3 linked regions of the Drosophila melanogaster genome follow. The protein of the gene in region 1 interacts with the protein of each later gene in a pairwise test. Each region holds a gene or a part of one and is shown on either strand. Other genes may lie near its edges. The genes, in order: CG17660, RpL32 and Cluap1.

What was found.
Region 2: the proteins of CG17660 (region 1) and RpL32 interact in a two-hybrid assay, tested with the Drosophila melanogaster proteins (one large-scale study listed by BioGRID).
Region 3: the proteins of CG17660 (region 1) and Cluap1 interact in a two-hybrid assay, tested with the Drosophila melanogaster proteins (one large-scale study listed by BioGRID).

The regions. Positions count from the first base shown.
Region 1 is NT_033779.5:1,705,390-1,713,061, reverse strand, and holds CG17660 (uncharacterized protein), read left to right. Parts: upstream 1-2,640; 5' UTR 2,641-2,746; coding exon 2,747-2,854; intron 2,855-2,958; coding exon 2,959-3,019; intron 3,020-3,098; coding exon 3,099-3,184; intron 3,185-3,250; coding exon 3,251-3,445; intron 3,446-3,729; coding exon 3,730-3,888; exon of another isoform or gene 3,889-3,957; coding exon 3,958-4,241; exon of another isoform or gene 4,242-4,252; intron 4,253-4,322; exon of another isoform or gene 4,323-4,384; coding exon 4,385-4,600; exon of another isoform or gene 4,601-4,610; intron 4,611-4,659; coding exon 4,660-4,780; intron 4,781-4,847; coding exon 4,848-5,001; intron 5,002-5,063; coding exon 5,064-5,290; 3' UTR 5,291-5,930; downstream 5,931-7,672. Other genes in the region: frtz (fritz), read left to right, coding at 1-465, 520-917, 975-1,134, 1,195-1,310; mRpL48 (mitochondrial ribosomal protein L48), read right to left, coding at 1,777-2,211, 2,365-2,463, 2,525-2,536; cpb (capping protein beta), read right to left, coding at 6,835-7,662.
Region 2 is NT_033777.3:30,043,503-30,048,634, forward strand, and holds RpL32 (ribosomal protein L32), read right to left. Parts: upstream 2,639-5,132; 5' UTR 2,420-2,638; coding exon 2,388-2,419; exon of another isoform or gene 2,360-2,387; intron 2,285-2,359; coding exon 2,185-2,284; intron 2,123-2,184; coding exon 1,811-2,122; 3' UTR 1,727-1,810; downstream 1-1,726. Other genes in the region: Sry-delta (serendipity delta), read left to right, coding at 1-1,278; CG7943 (uncharacterized protein), read left to right, coding at 3,588-4,141, 4,205-4,334, 4,402-4,716.
Region 3 is NC_004354.4:22,541,264-22,547,533, forward strand, and holds Cluap1 (clusterin associated protein 1), read right to left. Parts: upstream 3,060-6,270; 5' UTR 2,961-3,059; coding exon 2,939-2,960; intron 2,873-2,938; coding exon 1,706-2,872; intron 1,649-1,705; coding exon 1,355-1,648; intron 1,297-1,354; coding exon 1,187-1,296; 3' UTR 1,123-1,186; downstream 1-1,122. Other genes in the region: CG17600 (uncharacterized protein), read left to right, coding at 82-555; CG17601 (uncharacterized protein), read left to right, coding at 5,867-6,270.

The sequences.
Region 1 (7,672 bases):
ACTATGACATCTTCATGGACCTGTACAACCTAACCAAGTGCATCTCAAGCCTGAGTGAGTTCGCCCAGGTGGCCTTCAGTCAGGCAGCTGCCATAATCCACGAGGAAGATCGCGCCAACGGCAATCTCAGCCTGACCTGTGACCTGCGCTCGGAGTCGGCCTGTTCGCTGTCCACCTGCTCGGACATGTTGCGCGGTCAGGGAGCAGGAACTGCCCCCGAAACCGGACTAGGCGCAAGTCAGCCACAAAGCCAGCAGGTCCTGAAGAACTATGTGCCACCGCTGCCCTCGTTCAAGTCGAAGGTATTCAACGCTGAGATGATCAAGATCAACATACCGAAACCGGAACTGAGGCCGCCCTTGCCGAAGGTTTCAATAGCGCCGCCAACATCTTCGCTGGCGAGTCTAACCCTGAAGTCCAACAGTAGTCTGCAGCAGGCGCCCGCAAAGAGTCTGCATCCAAATGGTTCGTGTGAAGAAAATTCCCTTCATAACTTAAATAATTTATCCATTATTTCAGGCAATTTGTGGTCCCAGGACGTGCCGGATCAGACGGTGGGTCTGCCTATGGCTAGTAGTCCACTTCCTCGTCTTCCGCCTTCAAACATTCCAGATCAGAGCGCCCAGCTGGGTCAGTTCAGCACGATGCCAGCTTCGCCTCCGCCGACAGGGTCCTATCAGCCCAAGTTTTATCAACATCCGCTTGTCTCTGGCAATATTCCCGCCATGCTGCCATCGCTCACCAGCGAGGACTACCAGAAGCGCCTGCTGCAAAAGAAACCCACCGCATCCATATTGTCCAACCCGGCGAATCCAGCACCCACCAACGGAGAAGCACCCGCCACGCCCGCAAAGTCACAAACGGCCGAAAAGAACAAAGTCAAGTTCTCGGATACAATTCAAGTGGCGGTGGTGCCAGTGAGTTAACAAATCAATCGATGATGTGACAGTTTACTAATGCTCTTACTCGAACAGGAAATTCCTCGCAAGGAAAAGCCAATGCCACCCAAGAGAAATGGTTACTCCAGGCCCGCTGCGCGACATCTGACAAATCCTAAAAAGGAGCTCGCAGACAGCCTGCCGCTCTGTCATCCGAACGACGAGTATCTAAAGGATTTCAACCCCATTACGACCAGTGGGTATTTGTTGAGTTCACCAATAACCTTGCCCCATTGACCGTGTCATTTCTTCGCAGATGTGACTAAGCCGCCCATCCGACGACGCGAGGAAGAACCCAAGAGCAGCAGCAAGGGCGGCAACTCCTCCTCCTCCTCGTCGTCCATCAAGGTGGTCCACTTCGGCGTGGTCTAATAATTCATAGTGCAATTCCCAGGCGTACACCACACAACGGTTAAGCGCTGCGTCTTCCAATCGTTTGTAACTATTGTAGTAGGCTGCTCCTTCTACCCTCTTCCTTTACTCTTAGTCATACATACCTAATTATACATAGCCAATCTAGTCATAAGCTTATACACTCATACACCCATCCTTAACATACAAATATTATCGAGAAACTTATCGACTAATCGACTCGCCACTCTGCAGAGAGCGCGGCAGTCAGTCGCTGTTGAACCAAGCTAAAGGACAGATCAAAAATAAAAGAGACACGTGAAATTGTATTAGAATATTAACTTCTGTAAACGGCGGCTAAACTATTGCCGTCCCAGTTAGTGCAAAGCTTTAAATAGGAAAGTTTTACTCATAGGTTCTCTATACTCTTTACACAGGTTACTCATTAAAGCTAAGCATTAAATGTTTGCCAAATCGGAGGCGCCGCCTACTTCTTCCTGGTGGTGGTGGGTCCGCCCATGCGCTCCAGCTCGTCCTTCAGGTCGAGCAGCTCCTTGTCGGGCACGTAGCGCCGCTCCTCGCAGTCGTCGGTGTACTCCTGCACCTGCAAGCTCACACCCTCGGGCAGCGCCGCCTGGGCCAGGCGCAAGAACTGCGGATAGACTGGCGCATCCACATTGTTCAGCTGCAGGTTGCGCTCGTAGGTGGTCAGCTTGTACTCCGATTCGATGACCGTGGAGTTGGGCCGCAGTCGCTGCACCGTGGTCTTTTGCGGAGGGAGGGCGTAGCAGTCGGAGACGTCCAAGTCCAGGTACTCGGCCAATCCGTGCAGAAACCTCTGGTAGCTCTCCAGCTGCGGGTAGTCGTAGCCCTTGATCTGCACATTCAGGCTCTCGTACTGCGGGAATTTCGGCTTGAGGGACTGCAAACGGAGAACAATGGTTACTGACCACCAAAATAATTGCTCATCTAGTCTGATCTGATTGAAATCTGTCTACAAGATTATGCTACTATGCTCAAAGCAAGTAATATTTAAAAAGGGGTTAAGATCCTTCCTTCTCAGTTGAGGACCCACCTCCAGGTAATCCGGTTCGTAAACACTTCCACTGGTGCTCCTCACGGCTGTTGTGGTTGCTTTGGGCACCTGCAGCGCCAGCCGCACACTTGGCAGTATCTAGCACAGTGGGAAAATGAAATTGTAATAGATAATTTAATAGATATTTTCAGCTATTTACCCTGCGTAGCATTTTGCTGTTTTTAATTCTCCAATTCAGGTTATATCACCAGCTGATGGCGTGCAGCCACACTGTTGCCGGCTCCATGGTCACACTGGCTCAAGCGTCAGATAGGCTCGGCAAGTGTTATCGAAGAACGATAGGCCCGATAAGTTCGGACGAGTAGAAGAGGAAATAATATTTGTATTTACTTAAGCCCATTGTACGCACACACAACTCGAAATGCAGGGATCGGCCACGCTGTTGGTGGTTGCGTTGGCCTTGCTACTTGGCCCGGCGAGCACGGCCGGGAAATCGGATCCGGGCATGGTGGACGTGCTGGTGACCACGGTAAATATGTGCACCACCACCACAGCCCCAAACAAATAGGGGAATTAGAATTAATCCTTTTCCGGCTACGTAACAACTGGTTTGTCCTCTTCTCTCCCACACAGGACTTGCCCAGCATCCGGGAGCAGCGTCCGCTGCTGGCCAACACAAAAATCTACGCGCAGAGTAAGTACAGGCGGCGGAAAACGCGTGACGAATGCCTCCGACTTACCCCTTTCTTCCACACCTGTTTCAATGGTTCCAGTTAAGGGCTGCACTTCCAATGTGGAATCGAACCTGACCATTACGTTCCGGCTGACGGAGCACCCCTGCATCTTTGATGACCGCACGGTGAGTACAACGTTTCCATATGGCTCAGTGACCATTTAATCCCATCAATCTTGTATCCCCAAACAGCTGCAGGCCATCGCCCAGAATGCTACCCTGCAGAAGAACGCCACCATCAATAACGTCATCACCGAGATCACCAGGACATATCCCTGCAACGGACTCATCGTCCTGGCGATAAACAAGGACAAGGTGGTCGAAGGATCAGCGATCCCAACACCGGAGCCAAAGCATCCAATGCTGGAGCACAAGCACCCACTTTCGGTAAATGCGACATATATCAACGATAAGTAGAAGCACAGCAATTACCACGGGCCAGCAAAGCATTTTCGGCTTTTTCCTTATCAGCTTATCGTTTCTCTTTAAACAGGGTATTCCCTAGATAGGTGGGGCATACTGTTTATAGAGCCAGCTTGAAACATTTACAGGCATTTGTGCCATTTTATTGAATGGAATGGTCTACTCGGTATCAGGTTTTCTTATATATGTATAATGAAGCAGGAACACTGAGATAACGCAGTAATTGAACCACTTCCGTTTCCTTATAGCCCACAACGAACCCAATTGCGAGCGTCAAGGAGGATGGCATTTACGAAATCGAAGTTAACATCGCGGCGGGCCCATCCGCGCAGTTCAGTGCCGTGGTGCACATAGAGTTCCTGGGCCCACACGGCTTCATCTCGGCCATAGATTGGCCATTCCTGCCGGTAGGGGTCGAGTGTGTTTCTAAATGACTTTGTTTATACATAATCATGTATATGTTTATTTTCCCACAGTTCTATCTGATCATGTGCATTGTTTACGTGATATTTGGAATTATTTGGCTGTTTGTTTCTTTCGCGCAATGGCGGGATCTTTTGAGAATTCAATTCTGGATCGGTGGCGTCATACTGCTGGGAATGCTAGAGAAGGCCTTCTTCTACGCCGAATACCAAACGCTGACGAACAAGGGTGTTGCAGTTCAGCACGCCGAACTGGTGGCCGAGTTTGTGTCCTGTGCGAAGCGCACGCTGGCCAGGATGCTGGTCATCATCATGAGTCTCGGCTTTGGCATTGTCAAGTGAGTGAGCGCTTTTGATTAGAAACAGAAGGGCCATTAAACTGCCGCCTGCAGCTGTTTATAGTTATAGTTATAGCTTACTCTAAAGCAGTTGCTGCTATTGACCGAACCACTTAAGCGTTAATTTACTCAATCTATTCCAGACCCCGTTTGGGACCCATGCTGCATCGCGTGGTGGGCGTGGGAACCCTCTACTTTGTGCTGGCCTGCGTGGAGAGCTACTTGCGTATCACCAATGTGAAGACCGATCGCAGCGAGCTGCTGGTGGCGAGCATTCCACTGGCGGTGCTGGACACAGGAATATGCTGGTGGATATTCACCTCGCTCGTGCAGACAACTCGCACTCTCCGACTGAGGAGGTGACTAATGCCAATGATGAAATCTCAACACATGCGCTAACAATGTGTACCTTTTCCAGGAATATGGTCAAGCTCTCACTGTACAGGCACTTCACCAACACGCTGATCTTCGCTGTTATCGCTTCCGTCATATTCATGCTGTTTGCTTTGCGTTTGCGTAGGGTCGAGAATTGCACGCCTGTAAGTTGTTGATTAGCATGAATGGAGCTGCGAACAGGGGTTTGCTGATTTCGTGTTTTTTTTTTAGGGCTGGCGCGACATTTGGGTGGATACTGGCTTTTGGCACATTTTGTTTTCGGTTCTGCTGCTGGTGATTATGATTCTATGGCGACCGACGAATAACAACCAGCGCTATGCCTTCACTCCGCTGCTGGATAACCCGGAAGACGAAGACGATGAGGGTAAGTTAGAACCCGAACTTCTGCTGCAAACAAGGACTAATTGACTCCTTAACTTTTGGCAGACGAGGAGGATCAGTTCGTCGCGGATGCCTACGGCGTGAAAATGCGCGGCCAGAATGGAACGCCGAAAACGTCGACGACTTCACGAAATGCCACGACCACCGAGGAAGACGACCTGCGCTGGGTGGAGGAGAACATACCGTCTTCGATGGCGGACTCGGCGTTGCCCATCCTGGACTCCGATGAGGAAATCATCAACACCAAGTTCGAGGTGTCGAAAATGCAATAAGCTGTGACTTTCGCTGGACCGAAGAGACTTTTTACGCATATTTTTGCACATTTTCACGCAACCGTGTCTCCCGCCAGCAGCTATGTATTTTTTAGTTCTATCCGCCATTGAGGAGGAAAACCCCTTATTGCTGCGCTGCGCTGACACTGATCTTCCAATTTCGAGAACCGTCTGTCCGGCCACGCCTTCTGAGCCCGTGTAAAATAATGTATGTAATCGTAGTTCCTTCTACGCGCACGTCCTCCCCCCCTCTAAATAAACCTAACTTATTCATAATACCTAGCCTAAGTTGTAGATACCTATGCGACGATCCGAGAACTTAATTTAAAAACTTCGACTTGAATTCTTGTGCTGCTGCCCCTAACTACACTCGCAAAGGTGTATGAGTGAGCTGTTGGTGGTCGCCTCATTGTATGTATATAGCTGGTAACACAAGACGAAACGATCTATATAAATCTACGAGTATATTCTGTAATAACTATGATAAAACGCGACTATGCAAAGATTAAAAGTAATTGTCTAAGTAAGCACACAATCGTTTGCGTCACACACCTCAAGGTATTTAATTACATATTTTTAATCAAACGGTCTCCGATTTTCATAAATAAATGCAAACGTATCTTAAAGGTAGCCATGAACCAAACTCGCCATGTTTTTCTTTAGTCCTTATCTAACTAGCTTATGATATGATATGTCGTGACTAAAAGTAGAATATGGTATACATCGATGGAGTGATGTGTAGTAGTTTATTTTATATATCTTATCTTTTGCGATAATATGATGTTTTCCCCCAATGAAACCACTTCTAGTTGTAATTCAATATTTATTAGTTTCTTTGTATAAAATTTCTCTTGCCTTCCAAATTTCAGTTAAAAAATATTAAGTAAAGAAGAAAGGTAATGTGCATTTCCTCAGATAATACAATCACAAAGCGATTTCAGTTAATATTTTGCTTCGAGCGCCTTACTGTTAGATTACACACAAACACAAAGTTACAATTAATAAACACAATATTTATTCGCGGAAGGATTAAGAACGAAACGCAAGTGCCTCGACTTCGGTGCAAATATGCATTATTACAAATAAGATACAAATACTTATGGATACTGTCTTGAGGGCGGCGAAGTTGGCATTTTCGGCTGAACTCTGGATGAAGCGCGACTCCAAACGGCAACAATGTGGGAGGACAGTTGAAACGGGCGGGCAAAATTTACATTAATGTGCTTCTCGTGGTGTAACAATTTTCTCATGTAACAAATTTACTGCCTAGAAATGCGTATTTAATATTTTTTAGTCAGCTCTTTAGTCCAGTCCAAGCGGAGTCCTCCACGGAGCTGCTCAACACAATTGGGCGAGTAACAGCGAATTGGGTGGGTGCAGCCGAAATATTATGAAAATTATTTATATTTATGACAATATTTAGTGGTGACAACAGTGCCTTGCAATTCGAATATTGCTGCGCTCTTCTTGGGAGCAGCCAGCTTGTGGGACGCCCCTGGACTGGATTGGTTTATGTGGAAATTCAGCCTTCAGCCGCTCAGTACTCAGTTCGATTCGGGCTTGACATTGCGTCGCAGGATTGCCGCTGCGAGGTCCTGCTTCATGGCCGCCTGCTGGCGCTGATCGGCCAGTGATTGTGTGCTCCTTAGTCCGTTCACGATGTCCTTGGTCTTGCCAAAGTAGATCTCGTTCAGGGTGTTCCTGATCTTGTTCTCCATCTCCTCGACCATCTTGCCAATGTTGGCGATGTGCGGCGACGACTCGCTGACGTTGGCGTCCTGCTCCTGCTGCCGGGTGAGGGATCCGCCCAGATTCATGGTTCCCGAACCCTGTTTGTTGGTCTGCAGCCAGAGCATTGCCGTGGAGGTGAGCTTGTAGTGGGCCGTCCTGCCGGTGGTCTTCTCCTGTACCTCGACCACATGGATGGAGTCCCAGCAGCCGCGGATCATCTTGCTGCCATCTCCCGCCTTTTTGATCAGTATAACGGCGGCAAACCCGTGATCCAGATCCCATAGGTAGACGGAGGAGACGCCTCCCTCGTAGTACATCTCCCTGTACTGATCGAAGGCATAGTTCGCCTCGATTTCCAGTTTGCGCAGTCGTTCCGAGGGCATTTGGCCATCCTCCAGCGGCGGATAGTAGGAGTTCGACCAGGGCGATCTGTAGGAGTCCCCATCCCGGTTATAGTCGCACAGCAGATAGTCCTTGCCGTGCTCCTTGTCCTTGGCGATCTTCAGCGGCTGGTCCACGGAGGAGAGCAAGTCCTCGCAGAGATCCGGTGCCAAGTCTATCAGATCAATAAGGTTCTTCTCGATCTGCTGGGGCGGCAGCCTCCGCATCAGATCCAAAGCACAGTCCATCTGCATTTCCGACTGAGAAGAG
Region 2 (5,132 bases), on another chromosome or scaffold:
GCCGTCGATCTGAGCGACACGGGCTCCTCCAGCTCCATGCGCTACGAGACGCTGTCGGCCAAGGTGCCGTCGTCGCAGAAAACAGTGTCCCTGGTGCTCACCCACCTGGCCAACTGCATCCAGACGCAGCTGGACCTGAAGCCCGGCGCCCGGCTGTGCCCGCGCTGCTTTCAGGAGCTCTCCGACTACGACACGATCATGGTGAACCTGATGACCACCCAGAAGAGGCTGACGACCCAGCTAAAGGGCGCTCTAAAGTCCGAGTTCGAGGTGCCGGAGTCCGGCGAGGACATACTCGTGGAGGAGGTGGAGATACCCCAAAGCGATGTCGAGACAGACGCCGATGCCGAGGCGGACGCCCTGTTCGTGGAGCTGGTCAAGGATCAGGAGGAGTCCGACACGGAGATAAAGAGAGAGTTCGTGGACGAGGAGGAGGAGGAGGACGACGACGACGACGACGAGTTCATCTGCGAGGACGTGGATGTGGGCGACTCCGAGGCCCTGTATGGCAAGTCCTCCGATGGCGAGGACAGGCCGACGAAGAAGCGCGTCAAGCAGGAGTGCACTACCTGCGGCAAGGTGTACAACTCCTGGTATCAACTGCAGAAGCACATCAGCGAGGAGCACTCCAAGCAGCCCAACCACATCTGCCCCATCTGCGGGGTGATCCGGCGCGACGAGGAGTACTTGGAGCTGCACATGAATCTGCACGAGGGCAAGACGGAAAAGCAATGCCGCTACTGCCCCAAGAGCTTCTCGCGCCCGGTGAACACCCTGCGCCACATGCGCATGCACTGGGACAAGAAGAAGTACCAGTGCGAGAAGTGCGGCCTGAGGTTCTCCCAGGACAACCTACTCTACAACCACCGGCTGCGCCACGAGGCTGAGGAGAACCCCATCATATGCAGCATCTGCAATGTGTCGTTCAAGTCGCGCAAGACCTTCAACCATCACACGCTCATTCACAAGGAGAACCGCCCAAGACACTACTGCTCCGTCTGCCCCAAGTCCTTCACCGAGCGCTACACCCTCAAGATGCACATGAAGACCCACGAGGGCGACGTCGTTTACGGGGTTCGCGAGGAGGCGCCCGCCGACGAGCAGCAGGTGGTGGAGGAGCTGCATGTGGACGTCGACGAATCGGAGGCGGCCGTCACCGTCATCATGTCCGACAACGATGAGAACAGCGGCTTCTGTCTCATTTGCAATACCAACTTCGAGAACAAGAAGGAGCTCGAACACCACTTGCAATTTGATCACGACGTGGTCTTGAAATAAGCTACATTGCCTACAATAAGTAATTGTTTATCTTTCCCTAGTGTATTTCCTCCTCTTTGTACTTGATTATTGTAGATTCCTACAAAATATAATTTACTGGTATTTCAATTACTGCGTTTCATTTAGACAGAAGCATTTCCGATAATAATTGTACACTGTTCTGTAAAAATAATTGCGAATATATATATGATTTCATATAAACAACCTCTTTCAATACTAAGGGGGAAAAATGTAAAATATATAACAAAATTCCCTGATAAGGATTGATGCTGTCTAGTTTTGGCACGTCAAGGAATTTATATTGGTCTAATATCTCGAGGCAGTTGCTATCAGAAAGAAAGACCGCAATGGTCTGGATTAACTGATATCCATCCAGATAATGCACATGTTATCAATGGTGCTGCTATCCCAATCTCAGAAATGACAATTGAACTCGGCACTCGCACATCATTTTTTAACTAAAAGTCCGGTATATTAACGTTTACAAATGTGTATTCCGACCACGTTACAAGAACTCTCAAGAATCTTAAGCTTACTCGTTCTCTTGAGAACGCAGGCGACCGTTGGGGTTGGTGAGGCGGACCGACAGCTGCTTGGCGCGCTCGACAATCTCCTTGCGCTTCTTGGAGGAGACGCCGTGGGCGATCTCGCCGCAGTAAACGCGGTTCTGCATGAGCAGGACCTCCAGCTCGCGCACGTTGTGCACCAGGAACTTCTTGAATCCGGTGGGCAGCATGTGGCGGGTGCGCTTGTTCGATCCGTAACCGATGTTGGGCATCAGATACTGTCCCTTGAAGCGGCGACGCACTCTGTTGTCGATACCCTTGGGCTTGCGCCATTTGTGCTGCAAGGAGACATGTTGATTAAACACGGGTACAATTTGGCACAATCCTCGTTGGCACTCACCGACAGCTTAGCATATCGATCCGACTGGTGGCGGATGAAGTGCTTGGTGCGCTTCTTCACGATCTTGGGCCTGTATGCTGGGCGGATGGTCATCTTGAAGCTGGAAGGACACAACAAAAGTAGCCATTAGTGCACTGACCCACTGGAAATATCACTTATCAAGCTAATAACACACAAGGTGTCCCACTAATGCATAATTCAACCAGGTTGGGCTAGCTTCTTGGGCAGTATCCATTGAGTTTCCGGTGTGTCGCCCCACGAATTCCCATCACAAACAGAAGCCATTTGGCGAACTCTCACAGGAATCGATCCGAATTCGGTCGAAATACGAGCCGCACACTTGCGAACAGCGCACGGACTAACGCAGTTCAACTCGAAACCGCCAAAAACGACAATTACGGCTTAAAATTAATGGAAATACACGTGGGCCCAAAATCACGCACATACCTTGCCGGAAACCAGAAGCGAAAAGAAAAAGCTGGTGGTGTGAAAAAACATCGATACGTCGTGCGTCGATGATTCGCCGATAGTTTCGTTCATGGCGATGCCAAGCGATATATTGCGGATCATCGTGTAATGAATTTAAACTTGGGCGCGTCAAATAAGGTGTTGCAGGTTTAATCACTATCCGAGCAACTGCGACGATTGCAACTATGTGCAACAAAATATGGAACTATTTTCAGCTTGGTGGAGTTTGTTATATAATTAAATATGCTTTGCCTCTTGACCCACTGTGCAGTGTGAACATATTTCATTTACACACTGGATGCAACAGCTGTTCAATAGATGTTTTGCAGCACCGTCATCTGATAAAAAACGATAAGAAAGCTGGGAATGAAAAAGTAAAAAGCTGACAGAAGCGATCAAGGAGCAGGTGTTCCCGAGGTTTAGGAGGCTAATACAAAAGCATCCAAGTCGTGGATTTAGAGCACCCAATGCATACCAGCACATGATAAGTTTCTGATCCATAGGGTGGTCTTTGCGTCAGTGGAACAAGTACACAGGGTGATTCGGTCAAAATAAAGTGACAGTGCTGTTAAACGCACTGCTAAGAATATTTTAATTATACGGTGTTATATTAAGTTTGTAAATTACCGAAAAGGGCGAGTACAAAACTCAAAGCCGCCGCTGCTAATTTAAGTTCGACAATTAATTTTGGTTGGCTTGTGAACAATTTGGATAACAGAGTCCTTTGGTATGCAGCAGAGGTCCAGCGACGGTCACACTGGCCGTGGCCGTCAAACCGTGGTTCTTCTTCATTATTATATAATTAAAACCGATGCGAATCGAAACCAAAACAAACCAAACCAGCGCAATCCCCGTGTTTGAATAGTTACAATGGTAACGCGGTGACAAATGCGCACTTCTCCACACGCCCGAAATAAACACAGGACAGCAGCAAGATGAAAGACGATGGAGCACCAAACGTCGCGAAAACCACCGACCCACCGCCCCCTAAAAGGTTTCCATCCGGAAGAGCACACAGCCCACATGGAGACGGGGAGGCGGGGAAACTGCTGCATGGCAGCGTCTTCTCGAAGCGCTTCTTCGGCTCCTTTCAGTGGGAGGAGTTCGCCTGCGGCTGCGGAGCAGCCTTCGTCAACATCGCGGTCACCTATCCCATCTACAAGATGATCTTCCGTCAGATGCTGCACGGCGTGCCCATCACCTCGGCCTTTGCACAGCTGCGTCACGAGGGACTGGGCTTCCTGTACCGCGGCATGCTGCCGCCGCTCGCCCAGAAGACCATATCCCTGTCCATCATGTTCGGTGTGTTCGACGGGACGAGGAGGTACCTCGTGGAGGACTACCGCCTGAACGACTACGGGGCCAAGGTGCTAGCGGCCGTGGTGGCCGGCAGCGCCGAGTCCATCCTCCTGCCCTTCGAACGGGTGCAAACCCTCCTCGCGGACTCCAAGTTCCACCAGCACTTCTCCAACACACAAAACGCATTCAGGTGAGCTGACGGATCTTTAAGTTTGCTAATGGGATCTTCTTATGGCTTTTAATCATTCCACAGGTATGTGGTTTCCCACCACGGCTACCGGGAGCTCTACAGGGGACTCGAACCAGTATTTTGGCGCAACGGCCTGTCCAACGCGTTATTTTTCGTACTGCGAGAAGAGGCCAGCGTCCGGCTGCCTAAGAGAGTGAGTGTTGACCCTATCACACATACGAACCTACTAAGATACTAACCAATCCGTTGCCCATCCACAGAAATCCGTATCCACTCGAACAGTGCAGGAGTTCATAGCGGGCGCCGTGATCGGTGCGAGCATAAGCACAATATTCTACCCGCTCAATGTGATCAAGGTGTCGCTGCAGAGTGAGATGGGCCAGAGGTCTGAGGGCAGCTGGCAGGCGTGCAAGCGAATTTACGTAGAGCGCGATCGCCGCATTGGCAACTTCTATCGCGGATGCCCCTTCAACACAGGCCGCTCCTTCATCAGCTGGGGCATCATGAATACGGCGTACGAAAACCTAAAGAAACTAATGCAGCAGCAGCCGCCGTTGCCACTGGCCTCTGAGTAGAACTAGAGTTAACTTAGCTGATTGTACACAAACGGTTACTTCTGCCTTTAGCTAGCCAATTATTTCGTTCGATTTAAGTCTCGCCTAAGTCGCTTGTGCACAGATGCTGAATTCTAGGTGTTAATGTACATACACGCATCCCAAGCGGAGGTCGCCTGCTCCTCCTACTCATATCTGTATATCTGTATACCTGTAGATCTATTCAATTCGCCTCGCGGATGCCAAGTACAATACAACGTGAGCATTTAAAGGTACCCAATCTTCGAGTTACGGTTTAGTTAGCTACTTTTCGTGTACGTGTAAATAATACTAGATGATGTGCGATATAATACGAGTGTGTTGTTTGTGTTCGCCAATAACTTTGTGATTGATTGAAGATACTACAACTGATTAATTAACGCGGTAGATTCAATGTT
Region 3 (6,270 bases), on another chromosome or scaffold:
TTACTTTGAAATATTGAATTTTTAACAAATAAATTTTGCTGAAATTTTAAATACAATTTTTGTTCTAATAACTATATTCAGATGGCACCACCACCGCCCACACGCTTGCCACCTCCGCCTCCGGGCGCCAGAGCTGGACTTCTGCTTCCCGTGCCCCCGCTGCCGGCGCAGTACCGTGGAATGACCCTTCCCTACATGCGACCTGGGCCCGGATCCGTGACCTACGCCCACCCGGCTAGCCTAAGCGGGACATACCGGACTCACAAGAGCACAAAGTCAGCGGAGATCAATGGGCAGCGAAGACGGCGGCGGGCGGGAAAGTCTGATGCCAATCGCCGGCAGCGCCGAAAATCGGAAGCGGATGTCCTGGACGGTGCTCCCAATTTCCAGTATACGGGTCTAGATCGAGCCATAGCTGATAGCTTTTTGGCCAGGCAAGAACAGTCACAGGCGGGCAGTCACGTCGACTATTCGTCGTCTGCCTCCTCGGACTTGTACGGCGGTCAGAGGGCATCCTTCAAAACGAAGATCGTTTGCCGGGATGTGGTGATGTGACGGGAAAAGCATCCGCTCTCTAGTTCCCAGTTTCCCAGACTTTTGTATATATTTTTTTTACGGAGCCACAACGAAATCCCATCTATGTGGGGCTTTGTCTGATAAATTACCCCTTTTATATCCATTACTCTATCAATGTACTTACATATGCGTATAGCTCTTAAGACACATTAAAATTAATCGAATAAAGATATATTAAGCAAACTATTTCAATTATTCGAGCATTGAATTAACTGATTATAACGTATCTACAAAAGCAAATTTAATTTATATCTCGCTTCTTGGAGGAATAGATTAGCTAAAGTCATACAGATAACGATGTACTTAGTTAGGGATCCTGGCTATGCTTTGACTTGCACAGTCCCACTTACCTATGTACATGCAGAAATCCATCTTTGACTACACTTTGATTGCTCATCATACTAGTCACCATATCGCCAGACAATTCGTGTTACTGCAGGAACCGGAACCCTAAGGCCGTCTATTTGCGAGACGGTGACGTATTTGATTGTGACGTGGAAAGAAATCTTTTAATTGCTTGATGGGAATATTTTATTTACTTTTTACAACCTGTCTGCCCTCTGGCTGAGTTTATAAAATTAGCAAATAAATATAAATATTGTAGTTATCCCTAGAAATCCTCATCGCTGTGATGCTCCGCTTTATTGGCGGTCTTCGGTCTAAGTGGCAGTTCGCCAGTTAACTTTGAAATGCTTATGTCATCGATCGAGTTCAGATCAACTAGGGGTGAATGAGGTAAAGTTTTGTTATAAGTTCAAGGCGTAACTACACGACTTACAATCATCATCGCCGGCTCCCAAGGCAATATTGCTCATCCCACTTATCCCGCTGATAGCGCTCATGCCACTCATTCCGCTCATTCCGCTCATGCCCATGATTTTACCCACATCCAGTTCGCTTTCGGAGCTCCCGAAGCTGCTGTCTTCGTCCCGGGAGTTGAGCATACTGCTGCCGGGTCCGTTGCGGCCGTTTAGCTGGGTGCCATCGGCGTCTCCTCCAGTCGCAACACCTCTCCTGGTGCCGCGGGCTGCCCTGGCATCATTACCACCATCCGGGCCGGCTGTGCCTCTTCCTGGGATTTTCGTTATTTGAGCAGGGAAATAAGTTTGTGAAATTAGAACTTCCTTACCTCCTACTGCCTTCCTGCTTCTACCCGTTGTGGGTCTAATCCTGGAGGTGGCGGTACCAGGACGTTTTCCCTGGGCGGAAACCATGTTGTTTTGTTGCATTAGTTTGTCCTCGTCCCGTATGTCGGGTATCTCTGAGTCCAGGCCGAAGACACTCCTGCCATTGACCACCATTTCGAGACGGGAAAGTGCTTTGCCGCCATCATCGCCCTCATCCTCGTCATCCAGATCGTCCTCGTCGTCGTCGTCATCGTCGTCCTCGATGAGTCCCTCCGGGATGAAGGGCATTGAGTTCTCGGCGGGCTTTTGCAGAATGGGTGAGGAGATAGGTGTGGCACGTTTAGTACGCAGGTCCAGCTGGGACTTTAGAGCATCGCGCACATGCAGCCTGAGAAAGTAGCGCTGGAATAGCTCCTGCAACTCCTTCTCACAGTCCTCGAATTCGGCCATGTGCGCTGGTCGAATGCGATGCAGTGCCTCCAGTCTTTGGCGGGTTCGCTCGAGCTCCGCCCGACGGCGCTGCAGCTTTGATCCCAGAGCATTGAGCTCCACCTTGGCTGCTTCCAGTTGGGCTCTACTCGATTGGAGGCGAACTTGGTTAGCTTGGATGGCGCTCTTCAGGGTCCGCTCCACGCTGAGCAGCTCCAGGGGTCGTTGGGCCTGGGACATTAGCGATTCCTTGTGGAGCAGTTCCTTCGAAAGCATCTCGCATATGGTTGTGCCACGCTGGGTTAGGTCTGTGGCCAGTTCTCGAGCCTTACGCAACTCCTCTATTTTATCGCCAATATCCACGGGATTTAGGCTCCGGTACTGGTCCCTTTGGTCCTCTTCGTCGTTGTCCGCTTCGTTTTGTCCTGGGGATGTCAAGAGTCGGGTAACCTTCTGTAGCTCTGCCGCCGTAACCGCAGCGGCTGCATACAGTTTTCGGGGATTAATACGAATGGCTGCCTTGGTCACAAAAAACTCGGTCGCCGAACGGACGAGAAGAACCCGCTGCTCCTCCGATTCAACGCCGCCGGGCAAAGTGGCTCCTGGCTCTATTAGTCCTGCTAGCCATTGAAGGAGCTCGGCAACAATGTGGAAACTGGCCAGGCTGCCATGCTGATTGGCCAGGGATTGGAGGGGAAACACGCGCGGGAACCCCAACAGCTTAAGATGTTCCCCCAGATCTGGAAGTGGAGTATCAGTCTGGTCGTGTTAGGTGGAGGAAGTAAGAGGAGGAAGTCAGTACGCACCTCGCACATCCTTGAAGGACATTCCTGGCTTCCAACGAGTTCACCTGTTTTTCTTTGGCTGCTTGCAATCGCTGCGGCTGCGCTGGCAATTGCATTTTCAACACCGTCATTTGTTGTGGTCGTTGGAGCTTTTGTTTGGGCCACCGAATCCCAAATTGATGGTTGCTAGGTAACGGAAAATGCATAGCGAGAAAATATGATAACGAACTCTAAACATTGATCCATTTCTAAAATATATTATTAATATTAAACTAAGATTATTGTCAACAACAATGTTGGTAATTTTAAACGGAATTTTAATAAGAAAATATTACATAAAATAGGAATTAAGATATATGTACTAAATTTCTCAAAAACAGCAATACATGAAACTGAAAATAAAAGCGAAATAAAATTAATTTTAACTTAAATAGGTTTTAGTTTTTTTATTTTAATACTTAAACAAATACAGGTTACTATCACTTGCCATATGAAATTTCTCGCAGTGTCCCCCTGCTATCCTTGGCTAATATTCATTCGATTGCTGTGGACGGTCGCACGGGGTTCACCTGGGAAACGGTTGCGCGGTTTCCATTCCATTAAAAATGTAGGAGTTGCTAAGAACGAATTATTGAAATACGATAATTGGGATTTTTACAAATTAAGCATACCCGACAGAGGGCGCCACTATCTCAACTGAAATTGACCTGTTGGGCACATAAATTTCAGTTTTTCTATATATCCTTTATTGTTCTTGTAATTTACTTATCATTGCACAGATTCAACACTCTGTTGGGTTATCGATGGTGTGATATTTTGGGAAGTTTGCGGGCGTTATAGTGGGCAAGACGACGTTCTGAAACACACTAGAGCTGTGTGTGTGTCACATTAGCTTTTACAGTGTATATACATATATACATATGTACATATATAGCTTATAGTTAATATTGATCGACAGATGGAAGATTCCGCTTGTGATCCTCATCAAGAATTTATATTTTCTAATTTTTTAGTTTTTATACAATTAATGGATATGAAAACCAAATAAAACTCTATTTATTTAAAAAGTCGAATGAACCCTGTTTCAATCATACAAGCGCACATTCAAAATGCCTAAAAGCGGCACTAAATTTGTTATATCCTTTTAGTAATATTCTTATGAAACAGGTAGAAGGAAGCGTTTCCGACCATATATTGTATATATATTCCTAATATACAATATATCCATGTTCGGCCGGACATCCGTATGAACGTCGAGATCTCAGAAATCTATCTATTTTTCAATAAAAGCTAGAAGGTAAAAGAAAGTTAAGAAGCATACAGATTCTAAAGACGTAGACGCAGTGCAGTTGCCCATGTTCCCAAGCCCAGTCTAACGCCCACAAACTGCCTAGAACTGTCACGCCCACACGTTTGCTAAATGTTTTAATACTTTTTCATATTATTATTAGTCTTTTAAATTGCCAATATTATATTATTTCCCAATATCTATCGATATCCGAGAAAAATTATGAAATTTCCCATTCGCATTTCCACTAGCTGAGTAACGATGAGTATCTAATAGTCGGGGAACTCGATTATATCATACACTCTTGTTTTGCTTAATATGGGGAATACGGATTTTACTAAGTAATAGTCTTGGTGCATAAGGAATAAATACATACCAAAACCAACCAACCACTAACGTGTATCTTCTGATAGTCGGAGAACTCATTCATAGCGTTCTCCCTTGTCTTGCTACGCATATTCTGATACTAGGGTATCAGATAGTTAAATAATTGAGGGGTTGTGCTCAAACTGTTTTTGTTTTTTGTATTTTATAGCGCACACAAATGTATTTTAAACCCGATCAGTAGCTGGAGGCCTTGTACTCAAAAATTGAGTAACATTATGAAATTACAATTGCTTTCACAAACTTCGCGTGCTTTGCTTATTGCGTGCATTTTCAAACTTTTTTTCTCTTCTATTCGCATCGATATCATACCGTTTAGTTATTGACTATCTCGTTATGGTTAAATTATTTCTGGACAAAAACCCGCTCGTTACACATACATATGTATCTATGGTGTGTGCAATAACATTTATTTGTATAAGAAACTAAAAAAATCAATGATTGATTGTAATAGTGTGAAGTCTAAGAGCTCTCAACAGGTGTTATTTATCTGTGAAATTGGCAGACAGCTTAATTTGTTAGATTTACAAGTTTTCTCGTTCATAAGCATGATCAGAAAATATATGAATGTAAATATATTTTCAGATCATGCTTATGATAGACTTATTAATCAATGATCAACCCAAATAAAATTCCTCAAATTAGGAGTTCAAATAAATAAATCTGGAGATCTCCTCAGCAACTACTGGAATACAATGCACGGCAAAAAGGTGATGGGAAAAGAGTATGTAAGGTTTTTTTTTAAATTATTATTTATTAAGTGAAGAATCCGTACATCATAATATTGTATCTTAACATCACAGGTATGTACAGAGTATGTAAGTAAAATAAGAGGTTTACATTTACCAACATGTTTAAATGTACTTAAGGATACCAAAACGAATTTTTAAAAAGGCTTTCTATTTGATTTTCATCGGTGCAAGTGTTGTACATACATATATGTATGTATGTATGTATCTGCTGATTGAAGCTCTACAATTTAGCGTTGGACAGTTAAGAGGGCTTCCCAGCCAATAGGAAGTTGAGTACATATATTTTTTCAAACTTCCGTTTTCATTGCGTTGAAAGGTTAGGCGTTAAGAAAAATATATATAAAATATTGATATAATTAACGAGTGATGTATTGAAAAAGTTCCTATCCGATTGGCCTTAGTAGGGTTTCCACCTTTCTTTTCCACTGACAGATTAAAAATATTAAAAGCAAACCCTATCAGGTTGTGACCTTACTTTTAACCTTATTTTCTCAGAGACGTTTGCATATAGTCATAACCACAGCTATGGCCCCAAGGAAACGGATCTCGAGGATTGCATCACGCAGTGTGGCGACTGTGGAGCAGTTCACTAAGCGCATCAACTGCCGCTCGGTTGGCACCCAAACCGATATCCTGGCTAAGGGTCCGGCGAAGCGCAAAAAGGTCGAGAACAAGGTCAAGCTGCTGGATTCGCAGCCACTGTCGTCCCAGTACTTGGCCATCCATCTGATGCCGGCAATCAATCCACTGGCAACTGAAACAATAAATCGGCGTCCGGATACATTCTCATATTTTCTCCCCGGTCCAAATGAGAAGTCTTGCCAGGCTGTGGCCGACCGAATCGCTGACGCAAGCGATCGGGTCATCACCGCTAGCTCCGGAGAACGGCAAATAAACCACCTGAAGTCTGTGGTGAGCAACCGCCGCGA